Caenorhabditis elegans: one gene and its partners. The main gene of each other region encodes a partner of the protein of the gene in region 3 in a complex. Each region holds a gene or a part of one and is shown on either strand. Other genes may lie near its edges.

What was found.
Region 1: eif-3.I (region 3) and eif-3.L share a complex: the UniProt entries of both Caenorhabditis elegans proteins name them as parts of the eukaryotic translation initiation factor 3 (eIF-3) complex.
Region 2: eif-3.I (region 3) and eif-3.G share a complex: the UniProt entries of both Caenorhabditis elegans proteins name them as parts of the eukaryotic translation initiation factor 3 (eIF-3) complex.
Region 4: eif-3.I (region 3) and eif-3.B share a complex: the UniProt entries of both Caenorhabditis elegans proteins name them as parts of the eukaryotic translation initiation factor 3 (eIF-3) complex.

Annotation. Positions count from the first base shown.
Region 1 is NC_003280.10:5,619,373-5,624,391, forward strand, and holds eif-3.L (Eukaryotic translation initiation factor 3 subunit L), read right to left. Parts: upstream 3,110-5,019; coding exon 3,037-3,109; intron 2,426-3,036; coding exon of another isoform or gene 2,420-2,425; coding exon 2,293-2,419; intron 2,244-2,292; coding exon 1,970-2,243; intron 1,927-1,969; coding exon 1,759-1,926; intron 1,716-1,758; coding exon 1,362-1,715; intron 1,277-1,361; coding exon 1,107-1,276; intron 1,058-1,106; coding exon 820-1,057; intron 764-819; coding exon 551-763; downstream 1-550. Other genes in the region: npl-4.2 (Nuclear protein localization protein 4 homolog 2), read left to right, coding at 3,525-3,668, 3,720-4,085, 4,148-4,339, 4,387-5,019. UniProt on the Caenorhabditis elegans protein: Component of the eukaryotic translation initiation factor 3 (eIF-3) complex, which is involved in protein synthesis of a specialized repertoire of mRNAs and, together with other initiation factors, stimulates binding of mRNA and methionyl-tRNAi to the 40S ribosome.
Region 2 is NC_003280.10:8,441,023-8,444,698, reverse strand, and holds eif-3.G (Eukaryotic translation initiation factor 3 subunit G), read right to left. Parts: upstream 1,933-3,676; 5' UTR 1,916-1,932; coding exon 1,899-1,915; intron 1,853-1,898; coding exon 1,800-1,852; intron 1,679-1,799; coding exon 1,599-1,678; intron 1,518-1,598; coding exon 1,135-1,517; intron 1,047-1,134; coding exon 791-1,046; 3' UTR 524-790; downstream 1-523. Other genes in the region: evl-20 (ADP-ribosylation factor-like protein 2), read right to left, coding at 1-53, 104-392; lips-10 (LIPaSe related), read right to left, coding at 2,698-2,890, 3,089-3,378. UniProt on the Caenorhabditis elegans protein: RNA-binding component of the eukaryotic translation initiation factor 3 (eIF-3) complex, which is involved in protein synthesis of a specialized repertoire of mRNAs and, together with other initiation factors, stimulates binding of mRNA and methionyl-tRNAi to the 40S ribosome.
Region 3 is NC_003279.8:2,483,917-2,490,332, forward strand, and holds eif-3.I (Eukaryotic translation initiation factor 3 subunit I), read left to right. Parts: upstream 1-1,944; 5' UTR 1,945-1,952; coding exon 1,953-2,088; intron 2,089-2,891; coding exon 2,892-3,325; intron 3,326-4,295; coding exon 4,296-4,650; intron 4,651-5,524; coding exon 5,525-5,583; 3' UTR 5,584-5,871; downstream 5,872-6,416. Other genes in the region: abtm-1 (Iron-sulfur clusters transporter ABCB7, mitochondrial), read right to left, coding at 1,282-1,359, 1,407-1,466; ddx-10 (ATP-dependent RNA helicase), read left to right, coding at 6,068-6,274, 6,321-6,416. UniProt on the Caenorhabditis elegans protein: Component of the eukaryotic translation initiation factor 3 (eIF-3) complex, which is involved in protein synthesis of a specialized repertoire of mRNAs and, together with other initiation factors, stimulates binding of mRNA and methionyl-tRNAi to the 40S ribosome.
Region 4 is NC_003280.10:14,793,763-14,798,751, forward strand, and holds eif-3.B (Eukaryotic translation initiation factor 3 subunit B), read left to right. Parts: upstream 1-1,641; 5' UTR 1,642-1,666; coding exon 1,667-1,748; intron 1,749-1,817; coding exon 1,818-2,011; intron 2,012-2,056; coding exon 2,057-2,389; intron 2,390-2,442; coding exon 2,443-3,150; intron 3,151-3,220; coding exon 3,221-4,081; 3' UTR 4,082-4,473; downstream 4,474-4,989. Other genes in the region: tbc-20 (Rab-GAP TBC domain-containing protein), read left to right, coding at 4,724-4,825, 4,875-4,980. UniProt on the Caenorhabditis elegans protein: RNA-binding component of the eukaryotic translation initiation factor 3 (eIF-3) complex, which is involved in protein synthesis of a specialized repertoire of mRNAs and, together with other initiation factors, stimulates binding of mRNA and methionyl-tRNAi to the 40S ribosome.

The DNA of each region.
Region 1 (5,019 bases), on a different chromosome or scaffold from region 3:
TTTTTTTTAATTTTGAAAACAAACGGGAAAAAAAATCGGGATCAATGGAAAAGATTGTTGTTGTCCTCCTGTTCTACTTATCTTCCCTCGAGACTGGAGACGCAGGCATAACTAGTGGGAGAATACACATAAGACTACGTTCTAGGTGAAAACCATGGACCTATAGGTCAAAGTACAGTCTATCACTGTACATACAAGACTACTCGTAAGAGAGATTAATAATTATTCGGAAAAAATTGAGAAGTAGTTGCGATGAGCGTAGAATATAAACAATCATAAATTAACTTCATAAGAAAAACCAAAAAAATTTACTAAACTTATTATGAACCATGGATACAAAATAATTGGGAGATAAGAGAAAAAAAGGAAGTTTAGGACCAAAACGAAAAGACAACAACAGGAGAAAGTGGTATAAATAAACGGAGAGATGTTTTTAATTTTCAACAAGAGATATAATGTTAACAAACGAGTGGGAGTTGGTGTGAAACTAAACGAAATTAACCGGAAATCAACCAGTCATGTTTCGTTTAGCTCAAATACTTTTTAAGGATCATGGTTTCTGGATATCGAGTCGTTTGAGCACATCCTGAACCTCTTGCAACTTCTGAATATGTCGAATGAAATGTTCACCGACGTGACGAGCAACTTTGGTATCGGCAATATTGATCATATCACGGTCTACGTAAAAGTCAATATCTGTTTGTGGCTCATCGTCGTCTGCTGATGATGGTCCGGCTTCTTTGCCAAGCTCATTGACGATCATCTGAAATTCAAAATATTACATCAACACTCGAGATCATCGGAAATTCTTATATATACCTTGTAAGTGAGAAGCTTTCCAATGAACGAATCATAGTGCTCATCATCAACATCCATGAACGACGCAAGCTTCTTAGTTGGAAGTGTTGTGTAAAGTTTCAGGTATCCACGAAGAACTGGTAACGCCATCTGTGATTCAATACCTTCCAGGAAAGATTGAGTTTGACGAAGAAGTGGTTCTTTCGATTGGTTGACTCCCTCATAGACAACTGTGGTTGGAGACAAGAACTTTGGACATCTGCAACAATACAATACTATACAATTACTTGACTAATTTCGTTTCCTACCCAGTAGCAAAAGCATTTCTGAATTCATCGATATTCCCGTTCGCCATGTGCATCATACGCTCACCACATCGCTCCGAAAGCTGAGAAGCAATGCTTTCATCGATTCTTTGTGGCTGGATGGCGAGGCAGATTGCAAGAAGATGGAAAAGCTGATCCCACGTCTTTCCAATCTGAAATCGGCAGAATATTATTGGGTCTTCATTAGATATTCAATTATTGTGCAAATATTGTGCAAAAAATTTAGAAAGTACTCACAACATCATATTGGAAGTTCTTTTTCGATGGCTGCTGATTTTGAACACTCTTTGTTCTTTGAATATAAAGCAGACAATTGACGAACATCTTTGTAGCTTCTCCGTAATTTCTCATCATCAAATGAGAAAATCCAACAAAGTAATGGAGAGTAACAAGGCAAGTTGGAACTGTATTGTAGATTCCTTTTGGATCAATATCCACGTATTGCACGGTTTTCAAAGCCTGATGATAGTCTCCTAGAAGAACGTGAGTGCGGAGAAGTCCGATGAGAGCGAAATATCCAAGCTTGAAGTAGAGATCCGATTGACCGAATTCATCGGCGACCGAATCCGGATTGCGTTTTTCCTGGAACGACTGTAGAGTTGAAAGCAAAAAAATAATATTGAATTAAACAAACCTTCAATGCCTTGAGCTGCTCCACAATTTGGGATTTTGATAGAAGCGAATAGAGAATGTTGAGAACTGGATAGATATTCCACGCGTTCTGATTTTCTTCGATATTGATGAGATCTTCAACTTCATCAGCATTGCGTTTTCCTGGGTTAGCCTTGTAGAGACAGAATGCCTGAATATTTATATTACGTACAAACTCTACCAAAAAATATTACCTGGAATTGATAGACGAATTCGTCGATAATATCCCAAAGCCACACGTTAGGGAGAGACAATGGAATTGGATCCTTGCTTGAGAGAAGCTCAGAGAATAACTCTTGATAGTTCATGAACGACTCATAGCGATGGACAAGGAGTGGTCCACGAGTATTTCTTGCATACAGCTGGCGATAATAGAGTTCCTTGTAGAGAATTATGAACAACTTGTTGCCAGGTCCAATAATTCTTTCGACAACATTCTCATCGGGCCACATGCGATCACGGAAGAATCTGAAATTAAAAGATAAATAGAAAACAATTTGAGATTATTAAATATTACCTCTCGGTGAGATCTGGAAAAGCTTGATCGTAGAGAGTCAAAATTTCCGGCACATTTTGTTCGTCAACCATGCGGGAAAAGTAGACCAGGTAGTCGGCGACCTCATTTGGAACTCCATCCTCATCGGCTGAAGCTGTTAAAAATTAAGAAATGAGATAAGTTTGTGTTGTTAACAAGCACCTAAATAACTACCATAAATATGTTTATAGAATTACTCTATTGATTGATTATCAATTTTTCTTTTGAAAAGATTTCACAATGCACGATCATTGATCCTCTGATACTCAACTTCTCTCTCGGGCTTTTAAATGATTAACTTCTTATGAACTCTTATGAACACCTTTTCATTTATTATTTCTTTCAAATGAATAAAGCTGTGATTCATTTAATCTGAGATTTGAGGATATTCGACACCGAAAAACACTGAAAATGACAAAAGTAGTCATTTTCATATACAATGAGGGAGTTCTGAGAATTGGCATTGATTCTTCACTGTAACAGTATTTGGAAAATTTGGTTTTTCTGAATTTTATGTATTTTGCTCATGGAATGTTAATCTGCAGTTTTTATGCAAAATTATTTCAGACCAAATTCTCCAAATGTCTGTTTGCCGAATTAAAATAAATCGGTTAATCAAAAAAGGACCGAGTCTTCAGTCTTTTCGAACTGTTTCAAATTTTAACATTTTTCAACTCATTTTACTCTTATTCATCAATTCTGAAAAATAGCATTCTGTGAACTTACAAGAAAAGGTGTTGGTGCGACGACGATCAGAGTGATCTTCAGTGGATAAATCGAATTCCACGCGTCGAGACATTACTGAAAGAAGGTTTTTATATTGATATTATTTAAATGTCAAACTAAATTCGAAAAGGTACGCTAAAATTAAGAGAAAACATTTTTTTAATTGTAAAATTTGATGAAAGGAATTGGAAAATGTGATGGAAAAAAGAAAATTGCAAGCGTTGCATGGGATTTCGCAAGAGTGCCGCACGGTTTTTTGTGTACGCATTTGCTCGTCATTCATGTTGTCTAGGCAGTTTTGATGACATTTTTTATTCTAAAAACAAAATGTTTTATTTCATTTGCTGTTTAATGTTTGAATATGTATGGAAACTAATTTGATACCCTTTCCGCTGCATTATTTTTGCAAAATCTCAAAATTATATATCTTCAATTCACTACCTAGAAGGCATATCTTCCTGCATTTAAAAATCTATTTTATTTCAGATATGGTAATTGAAGTCCCTCAAACTGAGCGTGTCAACGACGTTGATGTTTTTTTAAGCACGCAAGATGGTCAAATTCAGCGTCCAAAAGGGCCCAACTGTCGGCATCCTGTACGTCAAAAGTGCACTAATTGTTTGCCTGTTGATGTAAGTGATATTTTCTGTTGTTTTCATAGAAACTAATATCAATATTTACAGCCATTCGATGAAGAATATTTGAAAGAAAAAGATATCAAGCATATGAGCTTCCATGCACATGTTCGCAAGCTCCTTGGATCCCAGGGGAAGGGCACGACTCTCAAAAAACCGCTGGAAAACTTTCGATGTTCATTAAAACCCAACTGTGATGCTCACAAGCCGTTCCCGAAAGGAATTTGCACTAAATGCAAACCACAGGTTGTAACATTGAATCGTCAAAAGTTTCGTCATGTTGATAACATTCAAATTGAAAATCAAGAGCTTGTAAATCAGTTTTTGGATTATTGGAGACTATCGGGCCATCAGCGTGTTGGATTTTTAATTGGACAGTATCAGCCTCACCTTGAAGTTCCACTAGGAATCAAGGTAAGTTCAGTACTTCATCACTCATTTCTTGAGACGAGTTATTTCATTGCTCATACTTTCAGGCTACAGTGGCTGCAATTTATGAACCTCCACAACACTGCCGTGAAGATGGAATTGAGTTTTTGGAGGATAAAAATCAAAAAACTATTGACAATTTGCTGGAAATGCTTGGCTTGCAACGTGTTGGATGGATCTTCACAGATTGTTGGACAGCTAATAGTGCTGAAGGAACTGTACATTATACACGGCACAAGGTGAGAACAATCTCGAAGAGAAGCCCAAAAAACGAATAATTTTTCAGGATTCCTTCTTCCTATCAGCTGAGGAATGCATCACCGCAGCAATGCTTCAAAATCAACATCCAAACATCACAGAGTACTCGATGGATCGTCACTATGGATCCAAATTTGTGACCGTTGTTGCATCTGGTGATGAATCGATGCATGTTAATTTCCACGGATATCAAGTTTCAAATCAATGTGCGGCCATGGTTGAAGCTGATATTCTCTGTCCAACACTGTACACTCCTGAATTGGCTTATGTTCGAGAGACACCATTATCCGAAGAACATTATATAACTGATGTTCAATTTTCGATGAAAAATGAATACGGAGCCGAGGTTATGAAAAACGGACGACCACTTCCAGTTGAATATTTGCTGGTGGATGTTCCTGCTGGAATGCCAAAAGAGCCTCACTACACGTTCCACGTTGGCACATCTAATAAATCGAAGAGTGCCAAATTTAATGTTGAAAATCGACAAGCAATTGGACAACTTCAAGGAGGTGCAAATTTGATTCAATATTCATCCGAATTCTCTACAAATCAATTTTTGGAACAGGCTACAAACTTCCACTTTTTGCTCTATTTAGTAACCAATGACCAAGTGCAGATTTCTGATGAATGGATGAAACGATTGTGTGATGCAGTTAAA
Region 2 (3,676 bases), on a different chromosome or scaffold from region 3:
TCGTTCTTCTCCGAGCAATTTTTTGAGTTCTTCGGAGCATTGTAGAAGACGCTCTGAAAAAAGTTTTTATAAATTTGAATGTATCCTAAATATTTGTTTCTACCTCTATCTGACGAATCTACCACCCAAATTAAAGCATCTGTGGATTCGAAATAATTCTTCCAATAAGATCTTAGACTTTTCTGTCCGCCAACATCCCATAAGTTTAGTTGAAAATCTTTGAAATGCACGGTTTTGATATCAAATCCTAATGTTGGTTCAATTGTATCAGTCGGCTCGTCGAGGAATTTTTTCATTAAAGTAGTCTTTCCAGCGTTGTCTAATCCAAGAATTAATATTCTCATCTCGCGTTCCCGAGCACGTTGCTTACGGAGAATCTTCAAGAAGCCCATCTGGAATTTTTGAGTTATAAAATGTTCTATTGCGTTTGAAAATTTTTAGCCATCAGATTTTTATTCAAACTATGATATTTTACATTGGACAGAAACCCAACTCGATTGGAAAAATAGAACGAAAAAATAACCAGGAAGAGATAGATTTATCATTGAAGAAAGAAAAGGAAATACCAACAATTTTCATAGCTAGAACTGCCTTCGTGAAAATAAACTTCACTTGCCAACTCTGATAACCATAGAAAGTAAAAATTATGATTTCAATAGGAAAGAACAACAAACATCGAATTGGTCTACAGTAATTTTCAGTTTAGACAGACACTAGCTACGAAATTATGAAGAACCAAACAGCGGGAAAACATCCAAGTACGCATAACATAAATAAATCAGAAAACGGATTAGTTGCTCGGACGTGTCCATTCGACTTTGAGAACCATATGGTACATTCGGATATCATTGAGTTCTGCAATTGCACGGGCGGCGTCATCTCTTGATTCAAATGTAACGAAGGCGAATCCTTTCGGGAGACCAGTGACTTTGTCACGGGCAATGAAGATTCGGATGACTCTTCCAATCTTTCCGAACAAATCACGAAGTTCGTCTTCGTTCATCTCTTGCGGAAGATTGGTGACACGGCATGTATTCTCATCGGATCTGAAAGTATGTTTTAAAAATAGTTCATAAATTATTCAATCATCAAGATTTTTTGGGCAACTTAGATTACAGTATTTTGAATGCTTACCGATTTCTATCGATTTGTCTTCCATCAGGACGCATTCCCATTGCCATTCTATCCTTTTCAGTATCCTTGTCAGCATCAGCTTCCTCGTCCAATTGGTACATGACCTTGTAAGGACAATGAGTACTCCAATGGTCGTTTCCTTTGCAATGACGGCAATGCTCACGGCTTGTAGTTTTAGCAGTCTGTTTGTCTTCTTGAACGTCAAGAATCTGCTCTCCTGCGCGATTTCTTGTGAATTGCATATCGACTTCTTCAGCCACGTAAGTTGTGGCAACTTGGGGTCCTGCTGGCTCTCCCTTACAACTTCCGAATTTCACCCATTTTTTGCGATCAGCGACGACTTTTGGTACACGTTTGTTGATAACTTTGAACTGTGTCACAACCTGAAATTTGGAATTGAAAGAATTCTAGAGCATAACTCGAGAATTCTGTAAGGCGAATTTTTTGGCCATCGGATAACAAACCTTCCATCTTACTCCATCAACCTCAGTGAAAGCTGTTTCGGTACGTGTTCCATCAGCTCCTTCCTGGATGTGTGGGGCGTCTGCAAAAGCGTTCATCAGTTCATACAGAAATGACTCGTTTTGTTAGGCGGTTGCACTCCAAATGCGAAAACCGTGAAAGTTCACGTAAATATTCTTGAAGACGAGAAATGAAAAACTTACTGTCTTGCTCAACGGCCTCAGCCCAGCTTACAACTTCTGGAGCGGGAGCCATTCTGAAACTTTCTTTACGTAAATAATTATTCGAGGGTGAAAACTCACGCGTTAATGCCAGTCATAGCTGTAACTTTACTACCTGAAAAACTATTGATTATGTTTTTAGCAATATAAAATAAGAAAAAATTTCAAATAAATGGTTTAACAAACTTCAGAATTAAAAAGAAACAGCTCTTCAAAACATGTAGATTTTAAAGTATTTGATTTTTTTTTCCAGAATAAGCGAATATTCAACTAGATTCATAGTTTTTAGCAAATATCTATAAAAACAAACTATAAATATGTAAAAAAAATATTCTACAACAAAAACACGGCTGGAAATCTTTTAAAAATGTAGAAATATCCCGAAAATCGAAAATTTGGGAAACAACGACGCATTGGGAAATCTGTGCATTTGCGCGTGGGATCATGTGTTTGCAGAATTGCGCACCGTATTGCCCAAAAGCCAAATGGCGCCGCCGCTCCGGTTTTCACAGATTATTCAGTCTCATCGGAAGAGATTTCTGAAGAAAATAATAAATATCTTCGTTTTCGGAGAAAATCACAACATTGTATCATGTGTCTAGATTGATCTGCGAAATATAGCAGTTTCCTATCTCTATTCTTATGAGAATTCTTACAAGTCGCCTGATGGACTTGATCACTTGGACGAATTTAACATTCTGATCATTTTCGTTCAAAATACCAATTTAATCAACGATTGTACTGATTTATTAAACTTTTGAACAATATACACACAAAGTTTTGAATGAAAGCAACGAGTTCGAATCAATATAAACAAGGAAATTAAAGAGATCACAAGTGAAATTTGATGTCAATTAGTATTTTTGGTGAGATTTTGTTTTTATGAGGTTTGAAGAGCCCTCCATTGATCTTCTGTAGTTCCACCAATAACTGCTCCATGCATTAGTCTAGTTTTGACGATTGAAGTGGCTCCTTCTAATGGTGAGGACATCTCTCCACACGTATTTCTGAGTCCAATAACTTCGTCAGCTACGGAATAAATGGCGAACATGTTCTTTCCGTATTGGAACGGCCTGAAAAAAATGTTGACTTGTAAAATCATGAAATTAATGTTTATGTGTACAGAAAACAACGTAATTAAATTTAAGTATGCCCTAGTATACCCAAAAAATGAAAAGCCTTGCTGGCTTAGTGGCTAAAAGTTTTGCCTTTCACGCACACCTGCATGAGTTCAATTCCCTGTGCTGGGATACTTTTTTTGCGAAACTTACTGTGAGTTGATCTCTTGTAAGAACTTGGAACGGCAATCCAAACCATGTGTTAAACTACAGATTCCATTCACAAATGGCTGCTTGGCGCACATAATAGCTCCGTGATTTGCTCCACCAACAGAAACATAATTATGAATTAGATGATTAATTGGGCGTCCCAAATTGACTCCACTATCAACACAGTGTCCTCCAAGAATAGCTTTTCTGGTAATTGGAGATCCCATGGAGCAAGCAATGATGTTTACTGGTTTCTGAGTGTATTCATGAACAGCAAGAATGAGAGTGCGAACCTGAAATTTTAGAGTTACAGTTTGGATTGCAATATTCCTTTCGTTGATTGTAATCCCTATTTCACCTATAGATTCCCCTTCATCTTTTCTTTTAGAATATCCTTCTCAATCCGGATCCCTTCCGAAAGATGTCTACCCAACCAGTCATTATAAATCTGTGTTTTGTGTAGTTTGTAAACAATCCCTTCTTTTTTCGGGTCACGTCCTTTTTCCGTTTCAACGTCACTCCGGCCGTTATCAATCGGGTCTTGAAAGATCACCGATCATCCCTTTGTTCTCTATTTATCTATATTAACAG
Region 3 (6,416 bases):
CCGATTGAACAAAACTGCACAATTTCTGAAAAACGTGCTATTTCATCGTATTTTAGCTTAAAAATACGATTTTTTGCTCGAAAAATCGCTATTTTGACCAAAATTCAACGGAAAATTCAATTTTTCCATTAAAATTCCACTGAAATTCATATTTTTCGAGGTAAACCGCAGGTTTCGTTTGCTCCGATGAGCTGTTAGAGTTGAATGCCAGTGGACAACTTGATAATGGACAAAATGTGAAATGTAAGCAGAATAACGAAGGAGAACTCAGTTTTGAGTTCGGATCAGAAGCTCAGAAGAAGAATTAATTGATTTTTTAATGTCTTTTTTCGAATTTGGGACACGTTTTTGGTGCTTTTTGAGCTAATAAAGTTGATTTTTGAGCATTTTTTCATGATTTTAGGGTGTAAAAACCTAATTTTACACCAAAAAACTGGGTTTTTCGGATGAAAAATGCAACTTTCCAAGTTCCTTTGGAGCTTCCGAGCTTCATCTCAAATTTGTGATTTTTGAGAATTGTTTGAAGCTTGCGACAACACAATTCCTGGAAAACGTGCTATTTCATCGTATTTTTGCTTAAAAATACGATTCTAAGCACGGAAAGTTGCTACTTTGAACGAAGTTCAACGGAAAATTCAATTTTTCCATTAAAATTCTACTGAAAATCATATTTTTCGAGGTAAAATCCAATTTTCGCAGATTCCATTTGTTGATTTTTAAGCATTTTTTTAAAATGATTTTAAGGTGAAAAAATCCAATTTTCCCCGAAAAACTGGACTTTTCTTAAGAAAAATGCTAGATTTTTCCAGTTCTGGAAAGATTCCCACGTTCCAGTGGTGCTTTCCAGCAACTTTTTCACAAATTTCTGTTTTTTTTTTCAAAATAAACTGCTTTTTTTTTTAGAAATTATATATTTTTTGAGCAGAAAAAGTGAAAATTTCGATATATATTAGGCCTAAAATGGAATTTTTTGAAGAAAATTCAGAAAAAAATTAATTTATAAAAGAGAAAAATCGATATCTCAGCTACCGTAAAAGCTTTAAAGGCGCATAGCAAAATTTAATTCTAACTTTAGAGACTGTAGTTTTCGCTTCGAGACCACAAGCTTATTTTTCGCTCTAATTGGCTAAAAATTAACTTTTTCGAGGCAAAAATTTCTGGAATTAGCTTTAAAAAATGTGAAAATACATATTTTTAACCTAAAAATTCATGGAAATTTCTATAAAATGTTTTTTAAGGATTTTAAAACGTTTTTTTCAACAAATTATCGCAAAACCCCACATTTTTACTAAGAATCTGTGTGGCATTTCTGATGAGTGCTGGTGATTTTGTCAGTGACGAGAAACTGCGGTAAACTGCCTGAAAATCAATATTTTACCGGAAATTCTCGGGTTTTTTAACGATACCTGCGATCTGATAGTGTTTGACGCGTTCCGTAGGCCAGCTATTAGTCGTAATTGTAACATTATCGATCTCTGAAAACTGGATTCGGTGAAGCTTTCGCAAAAAAATCGATGAGAATTGAGAGTTGCGAAATTTAGCAGTTATTTGTGGTGGAACATGTTAAAATTTGAGTTTTTAATTAATATATTGCTAAAAATTTGATAAAATTCACTTTTTAATTGTTGAAAACTACTGAAAACCACTCGAAATTGCTGAAAATTGCTGAAAATCGAAATTTCGTCAGCTGATGTCGATTATTCTGCGCGGGGGTACGGTACGCAAGTCCGCAAACACTGTCACGCCAAATTGCGGAGGTTGAGCCAAATCCTATTTCTTGTTGTTTTTTCGCTTATTTTTCGAATATTTCCCATGTTTTCTGGCTTCTAATTTTCATTTTTTTAATGGAATTTATTAATAATTAAGCCAATAATTCATTTTATAATCAAAACTGCCGAATATTCCACCAATTTCTCGCAGAAACCTTCAAAAATAGGGGATTTCTTTCAGAAATGCGTCCACTTTCGCTGAAAGGCCACGAACGTGCTCTCACTCGGGTCCGTTTCAATCGTGAGGGAGATTTGACGTTCTCCTGTGCTAAGGACAAGAAGCCATGCGTTTGGTATACTGAAAATGGAGAGAGAATCGGTATTTTTGAATATTTTCGCGAAAAATTTTCGCAGAATTAAAGGTGGAGTAGCGCTAGTGGGAAAATTGCTTTAAAACATGCATATGGTACCACAATGACCGAATATCATGATTAAAAATTTCAAAAAAATTTTCTAAATTTTATATGATTTTTTGAAAATTGAAAAAATCTCAGTTTTTGCCTAATTTCAATTTTAATTACCGCCAATTGGATTTGTTCGATGGAGCGCGCTTGCACGTTTTTAAATTTATTTATTTTATTTATTGTTATTTTCCACCGATTTTTAATGTTTTCGGTGTATTTTTGCTTGAATTTTAGAGAAAAAGTCAAAAGAATTGCAAATTTTCAATTAAAAAGCACGCTTACAGGCGTAAATCAGTGAAATTTATTAATTCAGGTTCGAAATCGTTTAAAAGCGTTACTTTTCATTTTTTACGCCTCTAAGCGTGCTTTTTAATCGAAAATTTGCAATTATTTTGACTTTTTCTCTAAAATTCAAGCAAAAATACATCGAAAACATTAAAAATCGTTGGAAAATAACAAAAAATAAAATAAATAAATTTTAAAACGTGCAAGCGCGCTCCATCGAACAAATCCAATTGGCGGTAATTAAAATTGGAATTAGGCAAAAACTGAGATTTTTTTCAATTTTTCAAAAAATCATATAAAATTTAGAAAATTTTTTTGAAATTTTTAATCATGATATTCGGTCACTGTGGTACCATATGCATGTTTTAAAGCAATTTTCCCACTGACGCTACTCCACCTTTTAAATATATTTATTTATTATTTTTCTTTTCAGGTAGCTACGACGGGCATAACGGAGCCGTGTGGGATATCGACGTCTCATGGGACACTACCAAGTGTGTCACCGCGTCCGGAGACCTCACCGTGAAGATTTGGGATGCCGAGCTCGGCAACTGCCTCTACACAATCAACCATCAGACTCCGATGAAGTCGTGCGGATTCTCGTATTCAGGAAATTTGGTGTGCTTCACCACACAAAAGATGACAAAGAATCTCTCGACGTTCCAAGTCCGAGATCTTCGTGATTCAAGTCAAATGGTTGAGGGTGGAGAGTCATTCTTCTACTCACAATTCGATGTGAACGCCACGACCGCACTTTTCACTCAGATGGATGACCTCGTGACGATCGGATTCGAGTCTGGACTCCTTCAGCAGTACGATTTGAGAAATCCGGATACACCAATTCACACTAACGAGAGTGTTCATCGTGTTCGTCATTTTTTCGTTGTTCTCTGGAGCGCTTGCTGACACTTTACGATCTCCTGAATTGGCGGAAATTTTATTGCTAATTTTTGGTTTTTATTGTTGTGGGGAAACATTATTAGAGCCGAAAGTGTGTACAATTTGGAAAATTGGCGAAATTTCGCATTAAAAAACCGTGCGCGGCACAGTTGCGAAGAAGGCGTGCCAGGGTTGCATCCTGACTCCGCACACAAGATTAAAACCAAAAATTCGAAGAAATAATTTAGTTTTCTCGAAAAATGGAACAAAATCGGCAGTTTTTTCGATTTGAAAGCCGTGAAAATCTCATTTTGAAGAGAAAAAGCAGCAAAATCCGGCAGTGATTGATTATTTTGATTATTCTAATTTTTTTCAATGAAAAAACCAATTAAATCAATTAAAACTGTATTTTTCTCTACAAAAAATGTATATTTTAAAATTCTGAAATCAAAAAACTCCCGATTTTTGATGTAAAACCTTAAATTTTACGCGTTTTCGAGTCGTATAAAGCTTCCCAACAACAATATCCATCAAAAATTTATATTAATTTCCATAGAAACCAAAATTAGCAAAAAAACCTTATTTCCCGTGGAAACAAAATTCCGCGAATTCGGGAGTTCGTGAGGTGTCAGCAAGCGCGCTCCAATGATTATAAGACCGAGGCTCCACGAAATTCAAGATCTTGTGGAATTCCGGATCTGGCACCGTACCAACTCAAAAAAAATTAACGCAATTTTTCTGGAAAAAATCCTGACAACGATGCTCCGATGTTACGCATCGCGTGTTGTTTAGCGTTTTTCCTGAAGAAAATTTAAAAAAAAACCACATTTTTCTTCGAGAAAACTGCGAAAACTGCAGTTGGCACGGTGCCAGATCCGGAATTCGACGAGATCTTTAATCCGTGGTGCCTCCGTGATTTCTAAAATAATTTCAAAAAAAAAATTTCCCAAAATTTCAGTACAGCGTCCAAGATCTCCAACTATCACCACGCGGCGATTTCCTGATCTCCGCTTCACGCGACAAGACGGCCGCCCTGCTCGACGTGAACGATCTGAAAAAGCTGAAACAATACAAATCCGAGCGTCCCGTCAACTCGGCATGCATCTCACCGAATCGCGATCACATTTGCCTTGGAGGAGGAGAAGACGCGATGCAGGTCACACAGACGTCTGTCTCTGCTGGACACTTTGAAGCCAAGATCTATCATATGGTGTTCGAAGAGGAATTCGCCAGATTCAAGGGACATTTCGGACCGATTAACACGATGGCCTGGCATCCATCGGGCACAATTATCGCGACTGGAGGAGAAGACGGTATGGGGATTCCACTGCAACTTTTTTTTTGAACGAGGGACGAGGAAATGCGGTTTCTAGGCCATGACCGAGGATCCGACAAGATTTATCAGCAATTTATCTTGCTTTGTTTTCCGCGTTTTTTCTTTTATTTTTCACCGATGTTTCCCCCGTTTTTTCTTATTAAAACTGATGAAGAAATATTGTTTTTGCAGATGCTAAAATAATTTTCAAGTGAAAAAATTGTGAATTCAGCCGGCAAGTAGCGGTGGAAGTGGTCAATGTAATATGATGGATTACGGGAATACTAAACCTAAACTTTCTTCCAAAACATGCTATAAATGCTGCTTAGATGCTGAAACTACCTGATTTTAATAACGAGACCGCTGAAAAAGTTTTGAGATTTTCAAAATTCAACCTTTTTGGCGAAAAAGTCGAGATTTTTCCACAAAATGTTGAATTTTGAAAATCTCAAAAAACTTTTTCAGCGGTCTCGTTATTAAAATCAGGTAGTTTCAGCCTCTAAGCAGCATATGTATCATGTTTCGAAAAAAGTTTAGTGTTTAGTATTCCCGTAATCCATCATATTACATTGACCACTTTCACCGCTACTTGCCGGCTGAATTCACAATTTTTTTCACTTGGAAATTATTTTAGCATCTGGTTTTAAAAAAATTTATTTATCAGTTTTAATAAGAAAAAAACGGGGGAAAAATCGGTGAAAAATAAAAGAAAACTCGCGGAAAACATTGCAAGATAAATTGCCGATAAATCTTGTCGGATCCTCGGCCATGGCCTAGAAACCGCATTTCCTCGTCCCTCGTTCAAAAAAAAGTTGCAGTGCGATTTGAGGATTTTTCATATAAAAATTCAAAAATTATTGATTTTTTTCCAGGTTACATCAGAATTCAAGAGTTCGACGAGGACTACCTCGGCTTCACCTACGATTTTTAATTTGTTCTACGTTTTCGTTTTCTTCCTGTTTCCCGGGCGATCGTATTTGCCAAAAAAAGACCGTTTCCCCCTTTTTCCTACTCGTTCCTGTTGAAAACCGCCTAATTTTAGAGTTTAAATGACGAATTTAAGCCTATGCAGTTCGGAAAACCTTTAAAATTTATCAAATTCTAAAATTACGCGGTGGTGATTTTCTGTTTTTTCCATTTTTTCCATATTTAAGATCAATTTTCGGTGGCTTTTAATTGTTTTTTTTTTCATAAATAAATATTATTTTGAGTTAAAATTGATCTATTCCCTCGAATTTCTTGGTTTTAATCTCCAATTATTATATTTTTAAAAAAAATTAATTTTTTCTCAATTAAAAATTAAGAAAAATTGTGGGCGGAGTCAGAATGCAACCCTGGCACGCTTTTTTCGCAACTGCCGCGCACGATTTTTCCTGCAATTTTTAAATATTTTTACCCAATTTTCAGCGTTTTCAATGCCTCACACAAACGGAAAAGGCGGCGGAGCACAGAAATGGGCTGGAAATAATAAAAGAAAACGAAATTTCGATGGCGAGCAGGATCCAAGTGTCAGAAAAGCGTTGAAGGAGAAGCGGCTTCTGAAAAAGAGAAAACAGGATTTAAAGGGACAGGAGGAGACAATGCTCGACGAAGTTGAGCAGAAATATCAGGAAATGCTCAAGGTAGCTCTAAAAAATAGTTTTTTTATTAAAAAATCGATTTTTCCAGAAAAGCTCCCGCACATTTCTCCGCTTCGAGGATTTCCCGCTCTCCTGGAGGACACTGGAGGGTCTCAAGGATAATGACTACACAAAACCCACAGAA
Region 4 (4,989 bases), on a different chromosome or scaffold from region 3:
ATGTATACTAATCATCATGTTATAGTAAAAATTGCGTGATTTGTACAGTAAAAGGTCAGCAGCATTGTTGTGAGGACTACCCCCTTGGATTGTTGCTTGCTCTTTGATTGTTGAGCGGGCATCGACTGGAGCTCGGTATCGATTGTGCTAGCCAAATAAAAATCGATTAGAGGTGTGGCATTTGAAGAACATCAAATTTCTATAGATACGAAAGTGTCTATATGTATCAAGTAGCAGACTAAAAAAATTCCAAAAAAAATCGCCTACCCCACCTCTATTTTCGATTTTAAATAACCAGTCATTCGATTGAGCGCGCAATTGAGTGCCGCTAGGTCATCAAACAGGGCCGCTCATCGCAAAAACATAGCTTGACAAAATGCTGCTGTGTTACCGTACTAATCATGGAGAACCAAGAATCATCAATCATGAAAAAGCAAGACGATCCGCAGAAGAATAAAAAAGAACTGCTAAAAATCATTTGTGGTTTTGCCTTTAACTTTTCGTTTTATACAAGCTATCCCTTCCGTCGAAGCTGGCAGATTTTGTACCGGCAATACTCTCACTTTTTCCAATGTAAAGCCCAAACCTTTCTGTTGCACAGTCGACAAAACTCATCTAACTCAGAATATGAAACGACCTAACCCTGTCAGAGATATTTTAAGTTTTCAAGTTCTTTCTTAAAATCCAAAACTTCTTTGATTCAACAACTTTTTACTGAAACACTCATAGTCCATACTCTGCAAGGACGAATCCAAAGAGAATAATGTAAACTAATCATCATGTTACAGTAAAACTAACAAAAACACAACTCCGTATCCAGACATAGTCTTCCGATGCAATACACTCACTTTTTCCAATGTAAAGCCCAAACCTTTCTGTTGCACAGTCGACAAAACTCATCTAACCCAGAATATGAAACGACCTAAGACTATCAGAATTATTTTAAGTTTTCAAGTTCTTTCTTAAAATCCAAAACTTCTTTGATTCAACAACTTTTTACTGAAACACTCATAGCAAATCATCTGCAAGGACGAATCCATTGAGAATAATGTATACTAATCATCATGTTATAGTAAAAATTGCGTGATTTGTACAGTAAACGGTCAGCAGCATTGTTGTGAGGACTACCCCCTTGGATTGTTGCTTGCTCTTTGATTGTTGAGCGGGCATCGACTGGAGCTCGGTATCGATTGTGCTATTTACTTAAACAACTGATCGATAAATATATTTAAAATGTACTCGCTGCCGCGTTCTCCGGAAAAAAGGGCAAATGTCCGCATTTCTTCGTAAAGTCTGGTGTTTGCGTACACCCATTTTTCTTTCATTAAATATTTATAAATGCATTGATTCGCGTTTGAGTTTCAAAATTATCTCTATTTGAAATTCCGCGCAAATCTCATGGACGCGGCCTAGGATTCTCTTCGGTCGAGCGCTTGCAACGACGCTCCGTTCTCCCGCATGGGTGTTGTTTAGAGTTTGTTCATATTCCAAATATCGGTCCTATTTTTCAGATTTTCCAGCGTTTTCCAACATTTTTCCACAATTTTCGGAGAAAATTCTGTAAAAATTCAACTTATCTCGTTTTTCCTTCCATTTTCCTTTAAAATATCTCACAATTTACTCAATAAACCGTGTCTAAAGTTTCAGACTAGTTGGGTTACACAGAATGGTCGAAATTGACTTTAATAAAGAGAACGAAGAAGATTTTTCGGATCCGCCAGGATTTGTTGACGACGTCACCGATGATGGTTGGTTTTTTATTCAATTTTTTGAAATCAATTCCAAAAAATAGCCAACAATCAATGTTTTTATTTCAGTTCTCGTTCCTGACGTTCTCCACAAGAAACCAACTATCGATGAATTTGAAGACAATTGCGTCTTCATCGCGGGAATCCCAGTTGTTGGAGCTGACCGTCTTGGAAAACTCCAAAGTGTACTGAAGAAGGTTCTGGAGAGGTTGGATCCTGCAGTGAAGCTCTACATTCCGCCAAGTCCAGAAGGAGGTTGCTTGGTGAGATTCACGCAAACGATATCGATTTTAATATATTTTTTCCAGGGAGTTCTGCTCACCGAGTGGGCCGATCAACGATCCGCTCAGTTCGCCGTGAAAAGTTTGAATGGATATGCTTTCGATAAGAATCACACATTCACCGCCCGTTCTTTCAAGGATATGAAGCAACTCGAAGCTCCTTCCGATCACTGGACAACTCCAGAGAAGCAGGCTTATAATGACGTTGGAGATCTCTGGTGGTGGCTTCAAAACGAGCGTTGCCGTGATCAGTTCGCAATTTCCCACGATAAACTTGGAGTTCCAACTGTCGGAGTGTTCACCAATATGAAGGGAAATGATCCAGAGCTTGCAGGAGATGCCGATAAGGCTGAAAGAGCTGTAAGTTTTGAGAATTATTTGTTTTTAAAAAATGAAATAATTTTTTTTTCCAGAACTGGACCGAAACCGTCTTCACTTGGTCACCACACGGCTCCTACCTTTCCACGATCCATAAGCAAGGAATCATACTTTGGGGAGGCAAAGACTACGCTCGTGCCCACCGTTTCGCTCATACCAACGTTCAATACATTGATTTCTCGCCGTGTGAGACCTACCTTGTTACCTACGCCGCTCCGGAAGAGTCGAACAGCTGGGGAGACTGTGAGAAGGATAGTTTGAGAATTTGGGACGTCCGAACCGGAGAATTGAAGAAGGCCTTTTCCACTTTCGAGCTCACCGGAAGAACTCAGCTCCCAACCTGGCCATTCTTCAGATGGTCATTCGATGAGAAGTACTTCGCGTGCCTCAAGGCTCCAGAAAAGGATAAGCTTGAGCGTGAGCAGAAGATCAACGGAATTTCGATCTTCGAATCCGAGAAGTTCGAGCTCTATGAAGGCCGTCCCGTGAATATCGAGAATATCAAGCAATTCGAGTGGTCGCCAACATCCACAGTCCTCGCCTACTATTCAGAGTGCACTGACGCCGTTCCAGCCGAGTTTGGACTCTTGCAAGTTCCATCAATGCAGAGACTTCGTTCGGCTCGCGTTCACAATGTCGCCGACGCTCAGATGTTCTGGCAGAAGAGCGGAAAGCGATTGGCCTTCTACACGATGAGATTCAAGAAGAAGGAGTACAGAGAGACCGGAGAAGTCAAATATGTGGTAAGTTTTGAGTTTTTTAAAGGATTTTTTGAGGCCTATGACAATAATAATAATAATGATATAATTTCAGGGAGGATGCCAATACCACGTGGACATCTTCGAGATTGACAAGAAGGACGTTTCCCTTATGAATCTCCCACTTTCGGAGCCATTCATCCATTTCGATTGGGATCCAGAAGGCGATAAGTTCTGTGTGCTCGTGGGAAACACCGCTAAGGCCACTCCACAAGTCTACAAGATCGAGGCTAACAGCCACGCACCGAAGCTTGTGAGCAAGTTGGACGCTGGAGTTCACTTCAATGAGGTTCAATTCGCGCCGAAAGGAGGATGGCTTGCAGTTCTCGCCAAGGTGTCAGCTGGAGGAAACGTCTATTTCATTGATACTTCTTTGTCGGAGGCCAAGAGAACTAATGTTATAGAACATCCACTCTTCAATAAGGGATATTGGGATCCAACTGGAAGATACTTTGTGACATGCTCAACGTTGGGAGGAAGAGCCGGAGCCGATTTGGGTTACCGAATCTTCACATTCCAGGGAAGAGAACTGTGCAGAAAGAATCTCGACCGGCTCGCCCAATTCAAGTGGAGACCACGGCCGCCGGTGAAGTTGAGCGAACAGAAGCAGCGTGAGATCAAGAAGAACTTGAAGAAGACCGCCGCCAAGTTCATCAAGCAGGATGACGACGAAAAGTGCAGAGCCAGTCAGGAGGTTGTTGAGAAGCGACGCAAGATCATGGCTGCCTTCGATATTATTCGAAGCCGGAATCGCGAGCAACTCGACGCCACCCGTGACGAGAGAATCTCTCTTCGAAACGGCGTGGACACAGAAGCCCAACTCGACGAGGACGAATTTGTGGATGAGGAGATTACCATTGCGCTGAGCACAAGCAAAACACAAGCCCCTCTGACGGAGGAGGAGATGAGAGACTAATTAGTTATTTGATTTCCCGGTTTTTCCCCTTTTTTATGCGCTGCTTTTTCTTCCTGATTTCTCGAAGACTTGGAGCGGCGTCCCCTCTTTTTGGTGGTTCCACCATGTACTCGTTTTCGTTTTCCTCTTCATTTTCCCAGTCATGTCGTCATTTTCTGAACAACGCCTTTTTCTATGGCAAATTTAACTTTATGATGCCTGAATGGAGAAGGTTTTTTCAAGCTTCTTTTGGGCGGCCCTAATATTATTTAATTGTTTCTCTCTATCCACTTTAATATCTCTTGTTGCTCCCGTCTCTCCGTGTTTTCTGGTGGTTTTTGCCGATAAAATGTTGATGAATTAGTTGATGTTTCAGATTTTTTCCAAATAAACAGAAGTGAAAATTCATAAATTATATTTTTCAGCGCTATAAAATTGTGATTCTGAAAAAAAAATTCCACGTTTATTAAAAATTCCACAAATGGTGCAATGTGACGTGACGGTGTATGCACACTTTGCATTAAATTTGACGACAAATGTCTCATCGGGTTTTCTGTCAATTTTTAATCCACTTTCTCTATTTTACTCTGTTCTTTTTATACTTTTTTAAAATAAAATTTCTATAAAAAACTTTAAACTTCAATTTTAGCAATTAACCCGTTCATGCACTCATCGTTTTCGGAGCCAAATTCGCCGTTGAAAGAGGTGCTCGTAGATAAGTGGCAGACAGCCTCATGCAGCGATTTGGGCGAAGAATATGTAAAAGTAGGGGTTTTTAATGAGAAAATTTAACGAAAAAAAATCAATTTTTCAGCCGGGACCCCTGGCGAGAGCAAAATTCAACGCGTTGCGAAATAAACGCGAAGCAATTGATCGATTTTTGAAAAAGCACCGAAAAGAGGATCTCAGCTTATATATTGGTAATTTTT